Linked DNA regions of Canis lupus familiaris. The protein of the gene in region 3 interacts with the protein of the main gene of each other region in a pairwise test. Links are inferred from orthologs where the notes say so. Each region holds a gene or a part of one and is shown on either strand. Other genes may lie near its edges. The genes, in order: AP3M1, DDX6 and SIPA1L2.

Region 1 (7,481 bases), about 18 Mb from region 3:
CAGGGGTAAAGTACACAAATAATGAAGCCTATTTTGATGTCGTTGAAGAAATAGATGCAATTATAGATAAATCAGGTAATTGTGTGCATGTGATCTTATTTGGGAAAAACAGTTGAGCTGACAAAATTGAAATCTCTTGGTAGTATGGTTTCAGCAGAAAGGCATTCACTTCCTGATAGCTTAAAATCTGTTTATTTTGCCCAGAGGCTACATATAATTTTCATAACCACTAGCTGAGATCTGCCAAACCTTTGTAAATCAGATCTCATGCTGCCTTACTTTAAGCCAGTTATTACCCTGTCTGCCTCTCCCTCTTGCCATTTATTCAACATTTATTGTATTATCTACCATGCACCATACTTTTGCTACCACTTTACATACAGTACTTCTGAAGACCCCAGACAAAACAGCTGTACTCTATTAGAACCATAAATTTTACTAAAAACATCTAGTCCAACCTTCACATTTTATACATAAGGAAACTGAGGCTCAAAAGGGTTTAGTAATCTGCTCAAGGTCACACAGCTAGTTGCTGTGTGAAAATGAGTTATTGTGAATTATAGCCAGTATTTTTTCTTCAATCAGTGCCCTTTTCATTATAAAAATTCTATCATACAGAATAATAGCTACATTATTACAGAATAATGGCTCCTATTCAAAGTTAACAGCTTAGTCCATTTCAATGAGAAATTTGCCTCATTTTTAAATTCCATTAAAAATATTTTAACTTCAAACACTTTTTTTTTCTAAAAGGGAAAGAGTTGATGGGGAGGGACAGAGGCGGAAGGGGAGAGAGAATCTTAAGCAGGCTCCATGCCCAACAGGAAGCCCAAGGTGGGGCTGCATCTCAGGACTTTAAGATCATGACCTGAGCAGAAATTAGGCGCTGGCTGCTTAACAGACCGAGCCACCTAGGCACCCCAAAAACATTTTAATTTCATATCCAGCAGTCTTACAAGGTTGACTATGTCAAGACAGAGGCAGGTTTGATATTCCGTAGAATTACCCCAGTCCTACCAGTTAGGTGTGGGCGTTTAGTGAAGAAACTGTCATAACTGGTGCAATGGATCCTCTGTCCCACTAACTTGTTAGTAGATGTGCAAGTTTCATTATGTCTGACACCGAGGTGATGTCTCCATTATTTCAGAGACAGTGATCGCTCTAGTCTTTACTAGACTCCAATTCCAGTGATGTTATCACTTCCTTTCTTCAGGATCTACAGTGTTTGCAGAAATTCAGGGGGTCATTGATGCTTGCATTAAGCTATCTGGAATGCCTGACCTTTCTCTTTCTTTCATGGTAAGTTTTGTTCTCCTGTCCTGTAGATCTTTGTATGCCTAATATATATGAAGTACTGAAAGAAATGATAAATACTGAGAGATGTTTGTATCTTAGATTGTAAGTATTATCTCAGAAATATTCTAAGATTTATTTACTTATTTAGAGAGAGCATGAGCAGGGGGAGGGGCAGAGAGAGAGAAAGAGAGAATCTTAAGCAGACTCCACGCTGAGCGGGGAGCCTGACATGGGGTTTGTTCTCCCAACCCTGAGATCATGACTTAAGCCAAAATCAAGAGCCTGCTGTTTAACTAAACCACCCAGGTACCCCTATCTCAGAAATATTCTTAGCACAGCTTCCCAAGACAGTGGCTTACATAATGAGCATGGCCTTTATGGAAAGGCTGAGGAGAAGTCTTCTCCTGGCTATGTTAGAAGTGGCTTAAATGGCTGGATGGCTTCTGCAAATCTGTAGTCTCACTGAATTATTATTTGCTTTACTGATAAGAAAGGGCATTGATCTTTTGCATCATTTTAGATTTGGCATGATACACTACTAAGAAAAGAGAACAAAGTTCTGTTGCTATCTCGTTTTGACCTTGAGTTCTTCCAACTTCATTTTTGTCATCTGTGAAATGGAAATGATAGTACGGCTCACATTTTCTACTTAATAGTAATTGAAATTCAACTAAAATAACATATGAAATATTTGCGGCCACCTGGGTGGCTCAGATGGTTAAGTAGCCGGCTCTTGATTTCAGCTCAGGGTTGTGAGGTTCGAGATCTGTGTCTGGCTCCACACTCAGTGGAGAATCTGCTTGAAGATTGTCTCTCCCTCTCCCTCTGCCCCCTCCCCTGCTTTACAAAATATATTTGAAATCTCAAAGCCTTGTGAAACTGTTAACTGTGTGTTATTGTGGTCATAGTAACAAACTCGTAATGTAACTTTTATCCTTAGGGAGTACATTAATTTCTCATAGTATCCTAGCAGACTTGCCCTATTCCGCACACTCTGTGAATACTGCCGTCTTGTTTTCCTGGCAGAACCCACGGCTTCTCGACGATGTCAGCTTCCACCCCTGCATCCGGTTCAAGCGCTGGGAATCTGAAAGAGTTTTGTCATTTATTCCTCCAGATGGAAATTTCCGACTCATATCGTATCGTGTCAGCTCACAAAAGTACGTTGATGCATCAACTAGAAATCTGCTATCATGTATCAGAGTGATGGGTAGTCCCCTTACCTTTTTCATTCTGACAGGTGGATACTTGAATTCATCACTGCTCTCTTTGGCCATGGCTCATTAGGAAACTCAGGAAGAACTGGTGAAATATGTATCTAAAATAATCAGTGTTCCTTGAATGTGAGAATATAAAGTACTAGTAAAACATATACCGGAGAACAAACACTTTGGACTGTGCACAACCTACACAAAACCTTGAACCCATGCCATAATTTTACTGTGGTCTGTAGACTTCATATCTGACAGAGGGAGACAGATACATCTCTAATTCTCTAGGCAATCGCCCAATTAACTGACTTCCGGTCACTCTTTCGGGTACTAAGATTAAATGAATGAATTGGCATTGTGGGTTGTAAATGGTTTGTCCCTTGAAAATATCAGAAGGCATTTGGGTAGCATCAGTAATACTCAAAAGCAGAGGAGTTATTTCTTGGCTCTTACCACATAGGGACAATTTCATTTAGTTTAATTTTAAATTCTCTTTTCTATGGGACCTTAATTAATTTCTTCAAACTAGGGCTATTTGTGCCACTTGTTTATCCTATCTTGAATCCTGTCTTGATTTGATACTTCTTGCTCAGAAATTGTGTAATTCCTAGTGTGGTGGTGCTCAGACTCTCTGGTGAGTACTAGTGAATGCTGACCCTCCAGGTCTGGGGATATATGGCCCTCGGTAGAGTCAAAGGAGTGGAATACTCTGGACTGAGGTTCTCAGGCTACCTCAGGAGCTGTCTCACACAATTAATTATGTTTGTGGTTGTATCTGTCTTTTTCTTTTCAGTCTAGTGGCAATACCGGTGTATGTGAAACATAGCATCAGCTTTAAGGAGAACAGTTCTTGCGGTAGATTTGATATTACAATTGGACCAAAGCAGAATATGGGGAAAACTATTGAAGGAATCACAGTAACAGTTCATATGCCCAAAGTTGTGCTGAATATGAACCTGACACCAACACAAGGCAGCTATACATTTGATCCAGTTACCAAGGTACAGCTAGCTCTAATCAAGCGTGAGCAAATGTTTCTGCAGTCTTTATTTTCTGATGGCAGGGAGGGCAGAAGGAAGGGTTAATGTCTTGGTTAAAACTAAAGTTCCTCACAAAACCTGAGAACAACCTGTACTCGGCCACTGGCTATGGAGGGAATCCCGCATCTGCTGCTGAGGAGATGAACAGAAACGTGAGACTCATTCTGTTCTCCTTCAGAGTGTGCCTTTCCTCATCCACTGATAATCTAGAGACATACTCACTAAGGAAGAAGACGTAGAAAGCTTTTTTAAAAAGAGAAAAGCATGATCTGGATATAAGAAGTTAGTATTGTAGTCTATTAATTGTTCGATTTTCTGTAGAAATTGATCATTAAGACCTTTCTTTTTCATTTACAAGCAATTCATACTCTTCCACAGGGAATGCTGGCTAGGATAGCTGCTTCCTCACCATACATAACCATACGTAAACGTGCCTCTAGCAAAGGGTTTGCAGAGAAACTGTAAAAAGATGGTTTTCTCTCAGATTCCTGCTTGGGTAAAAAGTGTGGTTCTTTTCAGCAGCAGAGTCATTGAGCTGCCTGCTAAGTGAAAAGGCATTTTTTAAAGTAAAAACCAGTCCTCAGAATTTGAAGAACTTCCCCAGAGGTTGACCACTGAGCCTCAGTTTCTTTGTAAAAAGAAGACAAAACCTACATCATAGGCCTTTTTGAGATGTATGAATAGTGCTAAGCACAGTGCTGTATCCAAAAGTGGATGCTCTACAAACGTTGGTTCTCTGCCCTCACCATTCAGAGTCACAGACCTGATTAGTGGTAAGACTCTGTGAAGATCCCAGGTCCCTTGTTTCCAAGATACTGTGCGTCATTCTGTACAGAAGTTTATAGTGTCTTTGAACATTTGTCTTTAGTAAATGGTTCAGATTGTATTTCTTATGCCTTTTTAAGGTACTAACATGGGATGTGGGAAAAATTACTCCACAAAAGCTCCCGAGTCTTAAAGGACTGGTAAATTTACAGTCTGGAGCACCCAAGCCAGAAGAGAATCCAAGTCTCAACATACAGTTCAAGATCCAGCAGCTTGCTATTTCTGGTAAGGATAAGTTTTGACTTATGTTTGCGGTTTAACTGAGTTTTGCTGGGGTCAACTATTTGGAGCTTAGAAGGGTACAAGCATTTCCTCTCTAGAAAGAACAATAGCTCCAGTTTGCCTGTCACACCGTGCTGTGGGGCCATAGTCCGAGGTACAGTGATTTGCAGAGCACTTTATTTCACACAGCTTTCTTCCTCTGCACCCTCTTCATCCAAGCACAAAGGGAAGAGTCATTCATACAGAAAGATTTATCCTTAAAAGACATTCTTTGCCCACTTGGGAATCTGAACTAAAACCATCCCCCCACAGTGCTATAATTTGTGAATAGTAGAAGGGACACTTGGTTAATGTCAGATTTACTCAGTAGTGTTCATTGCTAGACAAATAATTGTTGGTTGGTATGGCCAGGAAAATAATTTGTTCCTTTCCTTACCTTTTTTTTTTTTTTTTTTTTGGACACAGGCTTAAAAGTAAACCGCTTGGACATGTATGGGGAGAAATATAAGCCATTTAAAGGAGTCAAATATGTCACGAAAGCTGGAAAGTTCCAAGTGAGAACATGAGAAGAGGCCAAAATTCCTCAAGATCCGTTTGTTTTTCTAGTGTCATTATAGTTTATTACTGTTAGGTACCAAGTGGGTGGGAATACATATTAGTCAAAGCATTCCTATCATGCTACACACCGCTAATGAAGTTGCTTAGTAATCAATGTAGGGTTCTGAAGGAGCTTTCAGCTAAGGAAACTTTGAATGACTTAGCTTATTTTATATCTTTTCAGTTAGAAAGATTCTGGAGGTGACTGCTTCCATAGGGGGGCATCAGCTGGAGGCTGCACATAGTGACAATAAAGGCAAAAGGCTACAGTGATAACCTCTCCCCGAAAACAAGTGAACTGGTCTCAGCAGGAGCAGTCTTAATCTGTAATGTGATGTATCAAGTGCAGCCAAACATCACACCTAATTTTAGCCATCCCAAATCAGCATCTATCCCCACAGAGGAAGTTCCCCCCACCCCAAGAAGTTTACAAAAAACTGCCTCTTCAAGTGTTTGCCTTATTCAGCTTTTCACTTGTGCCATTAAGCAAGCACTGTAGCAAAAGCCACTTCCACATGGCCCTGGCAGGGAGCACCACTGCTCCGTGCTTCATTCTCACTGTACTTGGTATTGTATTTTTTATAAATAAGATTTTTATGTAAAGCTCAGATTTTGATTTACAGGGACCTTGCTGCAGTAAGTACCCATCTCAGTTTTGTGCCACTAGTTCAGCTGTTAGATAGCATAGTAAAAATCGTATCAAAGGGGCAAATGCTTTATTAAGGCAATAAAAGGGAACACTACTTCTGCTTTTAGGAAGTTATTGCAAGCACAAGCATTTGAGATTTGAAGCAAATTAAAGGGTAGAGGAGAAACTTAAGTGAACTTTGCCACCTTCATGTTTTAGAAAGCTTATCAACACCACTTAAACCATCTTAGCCTAAAGGCCTCAAGCCCTAGTTCAGCAAAAGAAAAAAAAAATGTGCCTGCTTCACTATGGTCACTTTTTTTTTAATCTTTTATCTTTTTTATTGTTGTTCTTAAGGTCTTGAATTTACCTGTATCCCTTGCCTTTAAGGGGAGCTCCTGTTTCATACCGTGTGCTTCCCAAGGCTACAGTAGTCAGTAGGTTCCTTCCTCAGACTGTTGTCATAATTGTCACTTGAGCGTCTCTGCTGTACTGACACAGTACATGATATTGAGGCAGTAACAAGATCCTCAGTGACACTGATGAAACCATATTGATCGTCTTGGCTGAGAAGTCAGTCTAGAGTTGTATCATTTCACTCAACCTCACTGGCTTTGAAGTCCTTGTCCAGTCACTTGGCCTCATTAGACCTGAAGGAGAGAGGAAGGCTGGAAGATACAAGTGCTTGTTTGTCATGGTTCCCACTGGTTCTTACTTATGCTGTTAGTTTTTTTCTTGTGACTCCCTTCTTTTCCTTCTTCTCGGCTTCTAACTCCTCCCATATCATAAGAACGGCCCTTAAATTCATCCCACTCTGCTGTTAAGGGCTAGTGGTCGAGGCTACCAGAGAGAGCCCAGCAGACAGCAGCGTTCTTACCTCTGCCTCCATAGGGTACCCAACCTGCCGTTCACCTACTAGGAAATGGCACTTTTTGCAAAATTTGAAATTTCTTGGGTAACCAATATTAGCTTGGCAGCTAAAATCAAGATGTTGCCAAATACTTATTGTCTTTGCCTAACGTTGGTTACACAGCCCAGTTGCTTTTATTTTTAATGTCTTTTAATGTCCTATCTCAAAAGAACAATCAGTACATTTTCTTTCTGTAGAATCCCGAATCTCAACCATGTATAACTGGACTGTCCAATTTTCTTTGTGCTGTCTTCTCTTATATATAAGTAAGCAGATTATATGCCGAGTCCCTTGTCTCTAGCAATTTCTGCTAAAACTTTCAAGTAGATTGTTTCCTTTTACAATTAAATTATTGTATTTATTCATTTGAATCCAGTAAATCCTTTCTCTAATCTGGCTATACTGTCAATAAAAAGATGAAAGCAACAAGTTGATTTTTTAGCTTGACTGCTGATTGAGCATTCTCAGATGGGTACGCCTCAGCATCAGAGCAGCCTAAACATGATCAGATTTTGTTCTGTATCATCACATAAGCTGTAAGGGTTGCAGCAAAGCACTTGGAAGTGCTCCTCTCTTAACCTCAATATGTTAACAGCCATGGATAATTTCTCTGAGCATCACTGTCTCGCCAGAGACTGAGCAGTAAGTGATCAAAGGTACTCTCCCTATCACCACCACCACTACCACCTACTAATAACAAAGATCCACAAATAACTTAGTAGTAGAATATTTTTCAAATGTAGAATTACAGC
Region 2 (7,481 bases), on a different chromosome or scaffold from region 3:
GATCCTAAGGAGTTTTGGGTGAGTCACAAAATAGTTTTGCTTAGAACTACGCAAGAGTCAAAAAAAAGCAACTTTAAATAATTGATTTTTTTATCCATGAGTTAAGCACGAAAGCATATGCAGGACTTCTCTTGTAATATTTTAGGGTTTCGAAAAAATGGAATATGGAAAACAAATTTTTTTCATTTTATTTTTTGCTTTTTTTTTTAAACCCTAGATGCCTCCTGATTGACCTAGTACACTGGGTTAAAAGGGAATTAAAAACATTTAAAAAAAAAAAGTTCACTGGTTTTGATTCATCTCACTCCTTTTGCCTGGAGATCAGGCCAAACATCAAGCATGTTGGGAGGGGCACAATTTAAAGCAACACTATTGACTGTAAAGCATTTGCCAGCAATTTACAATGCAAAATGACAGATAATTCTTGTCACAAAGCAAGAGGATGGCAAGCAGCTTTCTTTAGCATGAAAGTTAACAGCTCTCAGGAGTTGCCCATTCCTGCAAGTTTATGTATCAAGGTGGGCAGAGGGCAACACACTTAACACAGTACAGGAAGTGATCCACAGAAAGTAAGCTCCAGAACTGCTAACATTACCAAAGCTGGTACTGGCTAATATTCTGAAATGCAAAATCCATGCTTTGTACATATACTGCTCAGACACTGCCACGCAACTGAATTTCCACACTGCAAGGGAGATTAATCTTTGTCCCCTTTTGCTGAGCTTGAAAAGTTCCTCAAACTTTCTTTAAAAGGGGAGGAAGAAGCAAAATCAGAGAGAGCTTCTCAAAAATAACATCTTGAGTTATAGGTTTCTGAAGTTTCTTTGCTCTCTCTGGCAGGTGTTCTCCAAAGGTATTAGATGATACAGTGTGGCAGCAAACAATAAATCCCAGACTTCCAGGTCCCTCTTCCAACACAGGGTCACCACAGAGGTCTGCTCTCTCTACTAAAGAGGCCAAAGTACTTTTTAGAATTTAGTGTTGCGGAAAACTGAGCCCCTCTCATCTTTAGCTGCTCCCATAATCATTCTAATCCCCTTAATCCCAGCAACCTTCATCCAAAAAAAAAATATATATATATGTATATATATATATGAACCCAGAAAAAAACTTATTTACAAAGTTTATACAAGTATACACACCCAATTTTCTATGGGACACGCTTTGCCACAGAGGAAAGAGGGTCAAGGCTCTGACATGTCTACACATCAAGTGCCATAACTGCTAATGGAAGCGTATGTAAACCAGTCTTTAGTGTTCTGCTATAGAGCACAAAGGCTTGTCATATGGCTCCTGCAATGATAGACTGCTCTTTCCTTTGGGAGCGATGATGTTGTAATCTACTCAGCCCAGAAGAAATTTTTACTTGGGATTGTTTTTTTTTTTTTTAAATACATGTATTTACAGTGCGGATGAACTGCAGTTGCATATCAACTCCTCCACATAAAGAAAAAGAGAATGGTGTTTAACATTACTAATACGTGTCATCTTCCAGCCCTGGGCTTGAGTATCAGGTAAAAAGGGAAGAGAGAGACTCCAACTTGAAATCAAAATAAAAAGACAAAAATTTTAAAAAGATAGGAAGGAAAAAAAAATAAAAAAAGGAAAGAACTACTATTGTTGATTTCTTGGGCTGTGTCTAAAAGATGATATTCTGAATGGTCTCATAGCATAAGGCACTTCGCACAAATAAGTAATAAGCTCTTCAGGCTTAAAAAACGGATGAGTAATTAGGGAGAAGTTGAAATGCACTCAAGAGTCAGCTGTTGGAGAATTTTGAAATTGTAGACAAGCTTGTGTGTTCATCAAGATTCTTCTCTTTTCAGGGTTTCTCCCCTTCTCTTCTTTCTCCTCCTTCCTTGTCCCCCTTCCCCAGAAAACATTTTTTAAAAACCAGCAGTTAGTGCAACTAATGTTCAGTCAGCACACAGTGCAAACAAGTGGAACAAAAAAGGTAAATTCCTTCTTTTCAGCTTTTTCTCTTCACCAGTTAAAAAAAAGAAAAAAATGTCTGAGCTCTTTTAAGTCTTCATAGTTCCAAAATAAAAGAAGATGAAAAACCCACAAAGAGAAGAGCATCCCCCCCAAACGATGTGTCACAGATCCAAACGAGCCTTCTGTATTTTGTGAAAGCCTAAAGGAAGAAGGAAGAAATCTAAAATTAACTTTTGTGAAGACAATATGAACCAAGATACCTAGGTTTTCACAATCTCCATCTCAAATGCTCTGTGGAGTGGCTTCTACTGAGCCTTTGCCTGCTGTAGAATCAATCCACTTAGGATTAAGGCATTTCTGCTAGGAATCCCAGAGATAGAGCAAGAGCCTCTAAATTCTGATATCCAAAACAGTTAAATCAAGAGAAACTGGGCAGCCCGGGTGGCTCAGCAGTTTAGCACTGCCTTCATCCGAGGTCCCAGTCCCAGTTGGGCTCCCTGCACGGAGCCTGCTTCTCTCTCTGCCTGTGTCTCTGCCTCTCTCTCTCTGTCTCTCATGATTAATAAATAAAATCTTTAAAAAAAAAAAGAAAGAAAGAAACTATTTTTTTTTTTAAACATCCACAAATTTGATAGCTTCCCAGGATACCAGCAAACATAGGCTACTTTTACATTAGCCTGAGGATTTTGTTTGACATTTAAGGGGGCGGGGGGAAGAAGAAAGAAAGAAAGAAAACTAAAGTGAAGAGTAATTCAGAAACTTAGAGTAACAGGCATATGGGGCGCCACGATGATTAAGCATCACATTGGTTGGCTCAGGTCACAGGGGTGGGAGGTGGTGGGGGGCGAGGGTGGGGGAGTGGCGGATGCTGCTCTGCAGGGAGTCTGCTTGTCCCTCCCCCACCCTGCTTGTGCTGTCTCAAATAAATCTTAAAAAAAAAAAAAAAAAAACCACAAAAAAAAAACAGGTAAAAATACTCATTGGTAATGTAAAAATTACCACCTCTCAAATAAAAGACTTCCCTTGGAAAAAACTGCAAAACAGCCTGAATTCCTTGATGCTGGGTCTTCTTTTGAGCACTGCTAGCAAAGCCCAATAGTCCACCAATGAAAAGAGAGGGTGGTACAGGAAACCAGAGTGAGTATTTAAAAAAAGACAATTATCCTCACAACCTGATTACACATTTGGCAACGAGGTACTTCAGGTAATTATCTTGATTTACTACAACGTCCAGTAGAAATTAAGAGTGATACTAACAAAAGAAGAATGACTAAGTGATAAAAGACCAAAAAAAATTAGTTTCATCTTCAAGTTGCTGAGAAAAAGATTCTACTTTGCTTTATTTTGAAGTCTGGATTTGTCTTAAGTACTGCTCGTGGATCACATCATACAGGAAAACTGCATTCAAGAACAGTATCCATGGATTCTCTCAGGAGACAACAACTTCCCCCAAGCACACCCGGTTTACCATCATTCATGCCAACAGGTTCTACGCTGTCTCTGCTAGTACGTGTGGTGTAACAGCAAATTTCCTCCAGGAAGGAGGATCTTGCTTTCTTTCCTTTCTTTCACCACTATGCTCCCTAGCGCTATGCAGGGTACGCACATGCTTGTTAGGGCTTCTCATCCTCCACGGGCTCGCTGTGGTATTCTGCCACATACAGGCTCTTGTCAATGTTGCTTGGGATCGGTTTAATTTCTGTTCCCAGCTGCTCCTCAATACTTTTCAGGTTGAAGCGATCATCATATGTGATCAAGTTGATGGCTAAGCCAAGATGACCAAAGCGACCTAATGAAAAAACATTAATCGATTTTTTAAAAAGGAGTTAAATATTAGAATCGATATGTATGTGCAAATCTCTCAGTGGCAAAAGCATACCAGATTATTAACAGTTTTGTTCAGTCCCATTCTCAGTGTATGCCTTCAGATTTCACAGCCCAAAGCAGTACCCTATTTATAGGCCTTTTTCAAATGATAAAAGAGGCTCATTTGTGTCAAAAGTTGCCAAAATACAGATACTAAATAGTAGTTATAGACTGCACTACCTAATAAGAAAAGTGAGGATCTCATTTGTGAATTTTGTATCAATTTAAGCATACAGTCAAAATATTTTAACTTTTCTTAAATGCTCTAGAAAAATTAGAAATAAAAAAACTAAGTAAATTTTAATTCACTGTTCTCATTGTTACTACACTCTACTTCACAAAAGAACAGAATTTAGTGATTATACTTCTCAAAACACTCCTGTGAAGAACATCTTCCTTTTCCTTACCTGATCTTCCAATACGATGGAGATAGGTCTCTGCCAGCTTTGGGAAGTCAAAGTTTATTACCACATTCACAGCTTGTATATCAATACCTCGGGTAAACAAATCTTAAAAGAAAAAGAAAGAATCTCCATCACATCTTTCAATTTAGGCATGTCTTTGTACACACCTTAACATGCATTTCTTTTTTTTTTTTTTAAAGATTTTATTTATTTATTCATGATAGTCACACACAGAGAGACAGAGAGGCAGAGACACAGGCAGAGGGAGAAGCAGGCTCCATGCAAGGAGCCCGACGTGGGATTCGATCCCAGGTCTCCAGGATCGCACCCCGGGCCAAAGGCAGGCGCCAAACCGCTGCGCCACCCAGGGATCCCTTAACATGTATTTCTAGTGCAACTTAAGTTTTAGTCACTTCATTCAGCAATTCAAATGTACTTGCAAACTAGCATTACATTTATGCTCATTATTGTACTAACTTTTACCCAGCAAATTACCTTTCCTAGTCCCATAAAGTTTTAAAAAATACTATAAGGTAACTACAAGAGAAAGAAGAGGTCAGAATGACTGGTAAACTAGAAACTCCTATATGTCTCAGGAGTAATTTTCATATACTTTTTAGTATGTAATCCAAGATTCAAATAGATTAAAAACTGCTGTATAACCAAGAATACATCAAAAACAAGATAATCCACTTGTAGTAATTATTTATACTTTTTTAATTCATTTCATTCTACTAGGTGATTTACAAGTCTGAGGCAAGCACAAGACCACCTCTTTACTTCTCTAGTCCAACAATTACTGTGCTGATTTAGGCTTTGAAAACTACAAGAAAAGACAATTACGATAGACAAATTCCAGCGCTTCTATCAGCTCCTACCCTCCAAAATAATCCAGGACAGTGACCAGTATTTCTAAAATACTGTTTTCAACTTATAACTCATTCTTTTAAATTGCCTCCAGATAAAATTAAAATTGACATAGAAGGTCCTGCACTCTATACTTTGGCCCTAACACAGTTCTCTGACAAGTCTTCTCAAACCTTCATCTCCACGAAATTCATCTATTTATTCTTTCTTAAACGTATTTTCTTGAAGCCTTCTATGGATCAGGTTTGATGCCAATCCCTAACTTACAACTCCTTCTGCAAGTCTAAAAGTTATCTAGTTTATACAGCCAGTTAAAATTCCATCTCTTTTCAGATCGCTATAGCTAATTTCCTTTCCTAAGAAAATTTAGGATTACTTACTACACATACCTCACATTTGCAAATTACTTTTACTCCCTTGTAGATCCAGCCCAAAGACTGTTTCTATAAATTAAGTTTTACTGTCACAGGACCATACCCATATGTTCATGTACTGTTTAAGGGTGCTTTTGAGCTACAATGGCAGAGCTGAATAACTTGTAAGAGACCATATGGTACACAAAGTCTAAAATATCTACTATATCTGGCACTTTAAAGGTTGCAGGGCCTGCCTTAGACTCTTAATGTTATCTTTTAAATCTGATTAAACCACTGCTCCTTGAAATAAAAAGTGATACTTTCCATGTATTTATTTATACACTTTATACACGTTATTCAGTATTATTTAATGACAAACTAAGTTTACATATTCTGAATTTACTTAACCTTTCACCAATGAACTAGTTCATCTTCTAGATTATAGATCTTCAACTGCAAACTGTATGCATGTATTTAAAATTTTTAAATTGTGGTAAAATATACAAAAAGCTGAGGAGTAACGTAGTTTTTCAGTACCAAGCTAACTAAATACCTGGCAAAGAGTAAATAAATGTATGCTGAAATCAAAAACTATTTTTGAATAAATAACAGATATTTGGGCAGAATTCAGTTTAAGGCATTCTCATTTTACAGATTAAAAAAAAGACATCAAAGAAAAAGTAGGACTTGTCCAAGGTCATATAATTACAGGTTAAAAAGGGTAGAACTTGAACTCCAATCTTAAAATTCTAGGAGCCTAGTATCTTTTCCACCAAATCAGATATTTTACATTTGAGTACTTCAAATACAAAAGTTAGAAGTGCTGATAAAGTAAACATAAATGTAATAATTCATAGCTGTACTGTCCTTTTAGATACAAGGCAGAGAAACAAGATAAACTGGAAACACCCAGGATATCCAACAGTCCTTCTATAAGTCAGCAAATTCAATATTCTGCTAGTATAAATCTGGAGTTTATTTCTATAGCAGTATTTTAAAAATCTGAATTGTATAATATTCTAAAATTTTGATCTGGGTGCTAGTTATATGGGTGTGTATATGTGCAAAAATTCATCGAATGTTCTTATAATTCTTATATTTCTATGTATACCTAAACTAAAATAATAATAATAAAAAATATTCTAGGCTCTTTTTACCTAGAAGCCTAATTTATATGATTATTCTCATACCAATACTAAGATTATACTTCCAGTGTAGAGATGGGAGGATACTCAATCCATTTGCTTTTTGTCTCATCTGATTGTCCACCTGCCTCCCCAGTTTGTTTTTCTTTGTGTACTGAAATACACCAAAATTTCTAAATGTAACTTATTTTGCATACAGTACATATTAACTCATTCTTGTATGCTAAAATTCAGAAAACACACAAGTCCCAAAACTAGTTTAAAAGATAGAGATGAGGTATGAGTGCCAGAACAAGTATTCCACAGTTTCAGATTTGAAAACTAATTTCAGGAATTAACTATAGCTTATTCTCAATTTCAGAAATTCTAGAAATGGCATTAGGGTGAGCTGAACTCTTGTCATAGACTCTTTTGGGAGATATGGACAGAGAAATCAGAGCAGACCCAGAAGAAAAACAACGGATAAAGGAAAATCTTACCAGTGCAAACAAGATTGCGGCATAAGCCATTTCGGAAATCATGAAATACACGATTTCGATGTTCCTAGGAACAAAGTAATGCATTTGCTTTTTAAAACTCATACAGCACAGCTCTAAGTTTCCCATCACTGATTTCTCCTACCCAAACAGTCTTATATACCCAAAATATACACAGATGAGAGATAAATTCAACAGCTATAAGTTAAAAACAAAAGAAAAAAGTTAATCATCAATTAGTTTCCCACAGGTATTAATAAGCAACTAAAACACATCTACAGGGGTGCCCAGGTGGCTCAGTTGGTTAAGTCTCTGCCTTCAGCTCAGGTCACGATACCAGAGATTGAGTCCCATGTTGGGCTTCCTGCTCAGCAGAGACCCTGCTTTGTCCTCCCCCCCTGTGCTTGTGTGCACCCTCAAATAAATAAAATC
Region 3 (7,481 bases):
TCTGCCATGGCCTATCATTCTTTACTGATCTGGCTTCACCTATCTTTCTGACTTGTCCCTATCACTTTCCTCATTACTATGTATGTTCTGTGCACCCTTTCTATAGCCTCAGGGCCCTTGAACTCTGTGTCCCCTCTATCTGGGATATTGTCCCCCCAGCTTCTCATGGCTGGCTTTCTTCCCACCTTTAAAGTCTCCCACCCACGGGGGTCTCCCCTGAGCACACTACTGCTCATTTCTTGATCTGTATAGAGGAACTGCGTGTAATAATTATCCCACAGGCTGCTGTGTAGACATCAAAGGCTAGAATGGTGCCTGGCACAACATACCCACCCAAACAATGTCAGCTGTTACAATGATTATTTAAGGAAGCCATCCCAGTCATTCCTTATTTCCGTCTCTCACTTTTGAAATAATCTGTACCCCCATGTAGACTGCATGCCCCATGCAGACAGGCCCTACTGGGTCTTGACCTGTGTTGGTTGGCTCTTCAGCTCCTGGCACAGTGCCTGGCACACAGTGACAGGAAAGGAAGGGGGCAGGAAAGATCTCTGTGGCCCATATTAACATCCTGAATCCCTGAAAAACCACATACACTGACTGGATGCATTCTGGAAGCACAGCTGTATTGTTCACAGGGAGGCTTCAAGAAACAGCCTTAGGAAGCCTATGCCTACATTGGGTATAGGAATGTTAAGGATATTTTTAGTACACTCTCAGGTGAAGCCCATGAAAACCCATCTCTTTTAGGGTAAGTTCTAGAAATCACTTTCCTTCCTCCAAATTCTTCATATGATTTCTATTCTCAGAAGGTTGAGAAATTTGCTCCTTACATGGCTCCTCTCCCACTTTGGCCCACTTTCTGCATCTTCTTCATCCTACATTTGATTCAAATTCATAGTTTACCTCTTCTCAACTATTTTTCAAATTCCCACCACTTTACCTCATGTATTTTCTTGTAAGCGATGCCCAATTCCTGGCTGGGGTAAATCATTTCACTTGAGCCTCAGTTTCCTGAGCTGCAACATGGGAATCCCGCCAATGGAACGTGCAGAGAAGAGTGTGTGGACCACGGCAGCTATTAATAGTAGTTACTCTTTACTTCGAATGAGTTGGGGATTCAATAATAAGGCGGCGAAGCAGTATTCAGTACAGATTACGATGCCAAACGGCCCAAAACAAATTCACATACACTCAAATTATTGACACACAGATGCTAAAAATCTACATTCACCTGACAACACCGTGACTGATGTGGACTCTTTTGAACATTTATTAAAAAAGCAAAATGTATGTTCATCTCAAATAGAACAGTTAAAAATGGTAAAGCAATACAAAGGACTCGTTGCTAGCAGCATCCAGTTGTTAGAGTTTCCCGCCCTGCTTCTCAATCCGACCCGGGCAAGCCCGTCCTCCCGGAGCTGGCTGCTGCCTACACCTCCCTCATCGTAGTGCAGGTCAAACCAAAGTTTATAAAATTAACAATTTAGGGTTAAATAAGCTTAAATAAGGGGGTTAAATACAAGACACTTCATCAAAGCTTCTGTACAAAGATAAACAAATTTGGCGTCTGTGTACACGGGGTTCGGCTGGCTGGCCGCGGCCGGCCGGGAGGGTGGAGGGCAAGCAGGCGTGCGCCTCTCTCCGCAGAGCGTTGACTATACACAGTGAACTAAGTTGAAGGGACTGCTTACTGAGCCATAGACAAGGCATATGTAGCTTTTTTTTTTTTTTTTTAAATCAGAACACTGTTAATATTCAGGCACCGTTTGCTCCTGCAAATAAATAGGCCTCTAAATTAACTGCATTCAAACTAGCGGTAAAGACATCAGTGCTTTTTTTTGTTTTCATTTTTCCCGACACGGCTTCTCCAACTATTTACTATGCCTCTTTCTTATTGCTATGATCATGTGGCTGTGAGAAATAAAACTACTGTACATCCAAAAAAATAGAGCACCTTTAACATTAAAGTATATGTCTGATTATTTGCTTCCGGGTTTATTTTACAATACTAAAGCCCAAACTAGTCAATTGCTTTTAACATCGCTACCAGGTCACCTGATCCACAGGAGGTGAAGCCCCTCCTCTCCTGCCTCTTGAGGTACGCCCGCGCCAGAGCACCATTCTAGTGGGGTCCCCCACACGGAGGGCCAAACCGACGCCAGGGTTTACATTCATCTTGACACCAGGGGTTACATTCGTGTGCACACGGCCTCGCTGTCCTCGCTGCTGTCACCAGGTGGCTTCAGGGAAAGAGTCGCCTCCCTCCCCTGCGGGGGTGAATGGTGCTAGACGGGTGGAACAGCAAAAACATCTACGATTGGCTGCAAGCACACTGAGAAACCGCGCATCTGCGGGTTCCCGGGGTGGGGGGCGGCGGGGGGCGCTCGGGGCCTCTCCCCCACGACCCCCGGTGGGCTAGGGCCGGGTTAAGACTTTTTGTCGATGGTGTTGAAGAACCACTCCGTGAATTTCCGCAGCTGGGCGGTGGCCGTCTGGGACTCCTCCTGCAGCCGCATGTTGTCTTGGCGCAGATGCTGCACTTCGGCCTGCAGGACCGCCTTGTCCTGCTTCTCCTGGGAAGAGGGCACACAGACAGGGTCACGCATGGGCCGGCACGTCCCCTGTCCCCAAGCTGCACACCCAGCACCCTCGCTTCTGTGGGGACACGGGGTGTCACCTCCTCCCAGGTGGCTGGCCTGCACATGGTGTCAGCCCAGGATGGAGGGGCCGAGGGGGACAACCCTGGTGTATTATTTCCTCTCACTCTCCTTGGCCTGCGACAGGTATCAACCTAGCTGTTATTTGGGGCAGGTTATTAGCCACAGTTTACCTCTTCCTCTGTCCAAATCAGAGAGATCACAGGAGGAGCTCAAAAGACAGACCTTGAACAAATGCACGAACTTTCTGCACCAACTCCCTCATTGCTGCTGGTCCAAGGTGTGTTTCTTTCTCTTTTCTTTTTTCTTTTTTTTTCTTTCTTTTCTTTCTTTTCTTTTCTCTCTCTCTCTTTTAAAGATTTTATTCATTCACTTATGAGAGACACACAGAGAGAGGCAGAGACATAGGCAGAGGGAGAAGCAGGCTCCCTGTGGGGAACCCAAGGAGGGACTTGATCCCAGGACTCCAGGATCATGACCTGAGCCAGCCAAACGCAGATGCTCAACCATTGAGCCACTCAGGTGCCCCCCGAGGTGTGTTTCTAATAAAGTAAGTACTTGGGCCTTTCACTCCATTGTAAGCTCTCCTGCTACAGTGTGTGTCCTGTGACCTTCAGAGTTTGCCACTAAACACTATGTGAAAATAATCAAGAATTTCCAGAAGAATCACATCTGAGGTACAACCCTGAGTTTCAATTCCCAAGTGCTGAAAGGCATGTCTTGCTCCAAACAGACAAAGAGGTCATTGTCAGATTGCAACAATTGGTTTTTTTTTAAAAGTGGGATCTAACTTGACTGCTAAATCCTACAGACACCACCCGCTGTGCTGTGCCCAGCACTCTTGGGGGGTGAACTGTAGGGGCTGTGGCTTTTGTTGGCATGTCTGGCACCTCCCTCGAGGTTTGCTTCTATTTCCAGACCTCTGCCCAGGCACCCACAATACTGCCCGCGTCACTGCTAAGGGACCCCAGTCACATGAGGAGGCATGAGTATCACATGAGGACAAAGCTCAATACTCCTTTCCTTCTGCCTGGACTCTCCTTGGTGGTTTTGGGGGTCCCTGTCCCAGGATTTGCATCCCAGCATGGTTCAGAGCATCCCACGTGCCTGAGGCCACTTGGTGGCCTGCGTCTCCAAGACTCCTCTGCTCCTTTGTGACCTGTGGAACCAGTCCATGAAAACCTTTGAAACTCTCAACCTCTTCCCCCAAATTCCCTTCATCCTCACACCTCTAAGTGAATCCCTACTCTCCTGACAACACCACTCCCTGGCTGCTCATGAAGGGGAGAGAGGGTGTGTTCCTGTAGTTGGAAGACTTGGGCCCTGGTGGTCCAGCAAACAGCTTGTCCCCCAGTGCCCAGGGAGTTATTTCCCTAAAACTTCAGCTTCTCTGAGAAGTGTGACCTGCCACCCCTGCTCACTCTGTCTCCAGTCCCTCCCATCACTAATGGAAGATTCTAGAATGTGGTTTGCTCTTCTCTCCCCTACCACCTGTCCTGTTTGTTGATGGTTCCAAAGCCACTCAGACATTCCACACAATCCATTCTCTCCACCACTTCCTCTCTGTGATCTGGAAACCCACCTCTCCCCAACTCCTGCTCCCACGGCCATCCTGTACCTTGCCATTACCTATAAAACTGCATAGCTTTTGGGATGCTTCAGCCTCTCAAGTCCCACTCACCACCTCTTGTTCTTTCAGAATAATTTCTCCAGTATCCACACCTCCAATAGTTATCTAATGTCTAACCTTATCTTTTATGTTCCCTGCAGGGACAGTATGTCTCCTCACCCAGCTTATACCCTAGAATCCTCAGTTTAATCCCATCCTATAGATACCCCAGGGGCTTTCTCTCTCTCTCTCTTTCTCGTCTTGATTTCCTGTCTAAACTCTTAACACTGATTACATTCAACTTTCCAATTATCCTGTGCCCACAGCTGGGGGCAGGGTGATGTCCCAGTTTGCTTGGGACATTTCTGGTTCTAGCTCTGGAGGTTCTGTATCCTGGAGTCTCTCCGTCCCAGGCAAACCAGGACACGTAAGTCATCTGAGCTGGAGAGAAACAGCTAACTTTGCCAACAGATGATGGCTTTAATTGAGGCTGCAAATTCAAATGGACCTTCAGCCTTGCTTGGCAATCCTATCAAATACACCCAGTAAATTTACTCACTACTCTACACCTACCCTCTGACCTCAAACCCCTCCTACTCCTTCCTATCACCTCTCACTCTCACCTCATGACTGGAAAAAAAGAAACCTTCAGAGGGGAACTCTGTCAATTTATCTCAATGTGTATGTGAACATATGTATGCACACACCCACACCACCGCACCCTGCTCTGCTCTGGTACTATGTATAAACTGTCCCCACTCTGAATCAAGGCCAGTCCTTTTGTGCCCTAGGTCAGGGCATGACCCTCTGGCTCCCCCTATTCCTGCCATTACTTCCTTCCTAAATGGATCCCTCTACCAGCACTGATACCGGCTGTGATTTCTCCCTTCTTCCATAAACAAAACGGTAACAAAATCCTTCCTGTGACATCTCCCCAACACCCTCCCACTGTCACCTTCCCTTCCATTCCCATGGACAGCACAGTGGTGACCCAGCACAGTGCTGGTGATAGCACAAGGGCACAGCAAATGTGTGAGGAATTAGCTAATTTCTTTGGAGGACCGACCATACACATGTGGACATGGAGGGCAGATGTTGTGAGGGTCACGTAGCTGACTCAGGGGGAATGTAATAGCTCGGGAAGAACAGGCTTTCTGGCAGTAACTAACTCCCCTCAGGTCAGTTCATAAACAGTTGATACAACTGGTCACTCACTGAACCAAAAAATACTAGCCTGCGTGTTTCTGCCTCGCTCTGAGGACTGGCCGTCCAGAGGGCTCACCCTCACTGAGTCCTATTTCCAGCGATCCTTGGGCCCCCCTAACAGTGAAAAATAATGAGCTGGAGGCCAGAACGCAGAATTAGACCTTATGAGTCTGTTTCTATTAATCATTGGCTTTGACAAGGGCACTCATCTTTCCTGAGTATTTTCGTTTTTATTTCTACCAGTTGGAAGGGGTGGATTGTGCCAGATAGAGCTCTGATTATGGATTGCAATGGATCTCTTTACCTTCCGAAGGTCAGTCTGCAGTTGTCGAAGAATCAACTCCAGTTGATTGACCTTCCCGGTCAGTGTGGATGGAGACCGCTCCCTAGGGAAGAAGGGGTAGTCAGAAAGACTCAAGGCCACTGGAGTGAAGACGCAGCACTCAGTACTCTTGCTGGGAAAGTTTGCACTCAGAGAATTATTTCATGTGCTTAGTGCCCAGCGAGGGAATAAATAATATCATGTCAGACTTGGAAAGGGAACATATTGCTGCTTTGGTGGAAAATCCCTTCTGAGTCTCTGTTGATTTAAAAAGGGATTCAGAATCTCTACAACCATAGATGCTGGTTAGAAACAAAAACAAACAAACAAACAAAAAAACCAAACCAACAACAACTCAGAAGATAGATTATCTAAATCAGTTTATCCAACTGAGACTCGGAAGACCAATAAAGTCCTGGGAACCAAATACATAATCGATTTCACCAATTTGTTTTTCTCAGTCAAGAAAATATCATGAAGCTTATTACCAAGATGAATGAGCAAGTTAATAGTAACACAAGTCCATATAAAAATTGGAATCAGGTAAAGAACATATACTCTGTGGGGATAATGTCAAAAAATACAGGGGAATGGGATGGTTCATTCAAGTGAGGCTGGGTCATGGGCTGGGGTTCTGGGGGGAGCTGTGTCCTCGGCAGGTCCGCACCTGCAGCCTGGCAGCAGGAGACTGATCACCAAGGTCCCTGTCCATCCCAGGGCTGTGGCAGCAATTATGGGCAGACATCAAGCCTGGTCCACACCCTCCCTCTCTCTGTCAGAGATCCTGGTCACCCTGAGCCCCAGGTGACATGTCTTAGCAGGCAAGGATTGCCCACCCCGGCAGGGTAGGGGGAAGGTCAGCCTCACTCAGTCCCGGGTCTGGATCCTAAAGGTCCAGGGGATGCAGGCTGGATGTGATCTCCTCGTGGCCCAGGGCTTCGCTGAACCCGTTACCCAGGGGCCTGGGGAGATGCGGGGGGTGGGGGGAGGCTCCCCAGGGGCTCACATACCCAGCTGTGTCCATGAAATCTTTGCCACTGCCTGGGTCTACACATAGAGGCGGCTCCTGCGCGCCTTCCAGGTCCTGCCCGTGCTGCATATCCGTCAGGGTACAGAAGGATGCCACTCTCTGGTCTGAGGAGGGGAGACACACACACGCCAAGGCAGTTGAGTACTGGCTGCACTGCAAGGTGACGTTTGTGCAAGCGAATTTAGTCACTAACCCTCACCCCCACCCCACGCCGCCCCCACCTCCCAATCAGTTACTGCCCTGTTTTAAACAAAACAAAGATAAACGGACTCAGGCAAGCTGCTGACAATCAGAAAGCATGAGGATTGGCTGTCCTTGGGGGCTGTATGGCATGCGCACATCACAGCCAGGGGGACAATTAGCAGATACTGGATTTGCTAGAGCCAATTCGCTTTCTTCCTTCCACATCCCAAGAAATGCCAAAGCAGCCGGCTGGCACGCAAGAAGGGCGTCGCTGATTAACAGAACCGAGGAGACAGACCTCTCCTCAAGCAGTCCCCAAACCGGGGTGGGAGGGGGATCCCTGAGACACAGCAGCCGGGCCCCACGGCCCCTGTGTGTGCCAATCCTCTGAGCTCAGATATAACCATGCAGACGTGCAGACACGTGAAATAGAAAGAAAAGGTTACAGAACATCCGGAGCCCGTGGTCAGC

Evidence for each region.
Region 1: the proteins of SIPA1L2 (region 3) and AP3M1 interact in binary tests that used the Homo sapiens proteins (3 or more experiments, as listed by UniProt). The two-hybrid records come from large-scale screens. The link is inferred for Canis lupus familiaris from reciprocal best matches to the Homo sapiens genes SIPA1L2 and AP3M1.
Region 2: the proteins of SIPA1L2 (region 3) and DDX6 interact in binary tests that used the Homo sapiens proteins (3 or more experiments, as listed by UniProt). The two-hybrid records come from large-scale screens. The link is inferred for Canis lupus familiaris from reciprocal best matches to the Homo sapiens genes SIPA1L2 and DDX6.

Annotation. Positions count from the first base shown.
Region 1 is NC_049225.1:25,253,449-25,260,929, reverse strand, and holds the end of AP3M1 (AP-3 complex subunit mu-1), read left to right. Parts: coding exon 1-75; intron 76-1,213; coding exon 1,214-1,299; intron 1,300-2,322; coding exon 2,323-2,456; intron 2,457-3,300; coding exon 3,301-3,508; intron 3,509-4,452; coding exon 4,453-4,597; intron 4,598-5,059; coding exon 5,060-5,160; 3' UTR 5,161-7,163; downstream 7,164-7,481. UniProt on the Homo sapiens protein: Part of the AP-3 complex, an adaptor-related complex which is not clathrin-associated. The complex is associated with the Golgi region as well as more peripheral structures.
Region 2 is NC_049226.1:15,052,797-15,060,277, reverse strand, and holds the end of DDX6 (probable ATP-dependent RNA helicase DDX6), read right to left. Parts: intron 7,117-7,481; coding exon 7,053-7,116; intron 4,311-7,052; coding exon 4,209-4,310; intron 3,725-4,208; coding exon 3,549-3,724; 3' UTR 3,542-3,548; intron 2,135-3,541; 3' UTR 146-2,134; downstream 1-145.
Region 3 is NC_049225.1:7,608,750-7,616,230, reverse strand, and holds the end of SIPA1L2 (signal-induced proliferation-associated 1-like protein 2), read right to left. Parts: intron 6,932-7,481; coding exon 6,808-6,931; intron 6,225-6,807; exon of another isoform or gene 5,862-6,224; coding exon 5,780-5,861; intron 4,697-5,779; exon of another isoform or gene 4,169-4,696; intron 2,577-4,168; coding exon 2,430-2,576; 3' UTR 1,251-2,429; downstream 1-1,250.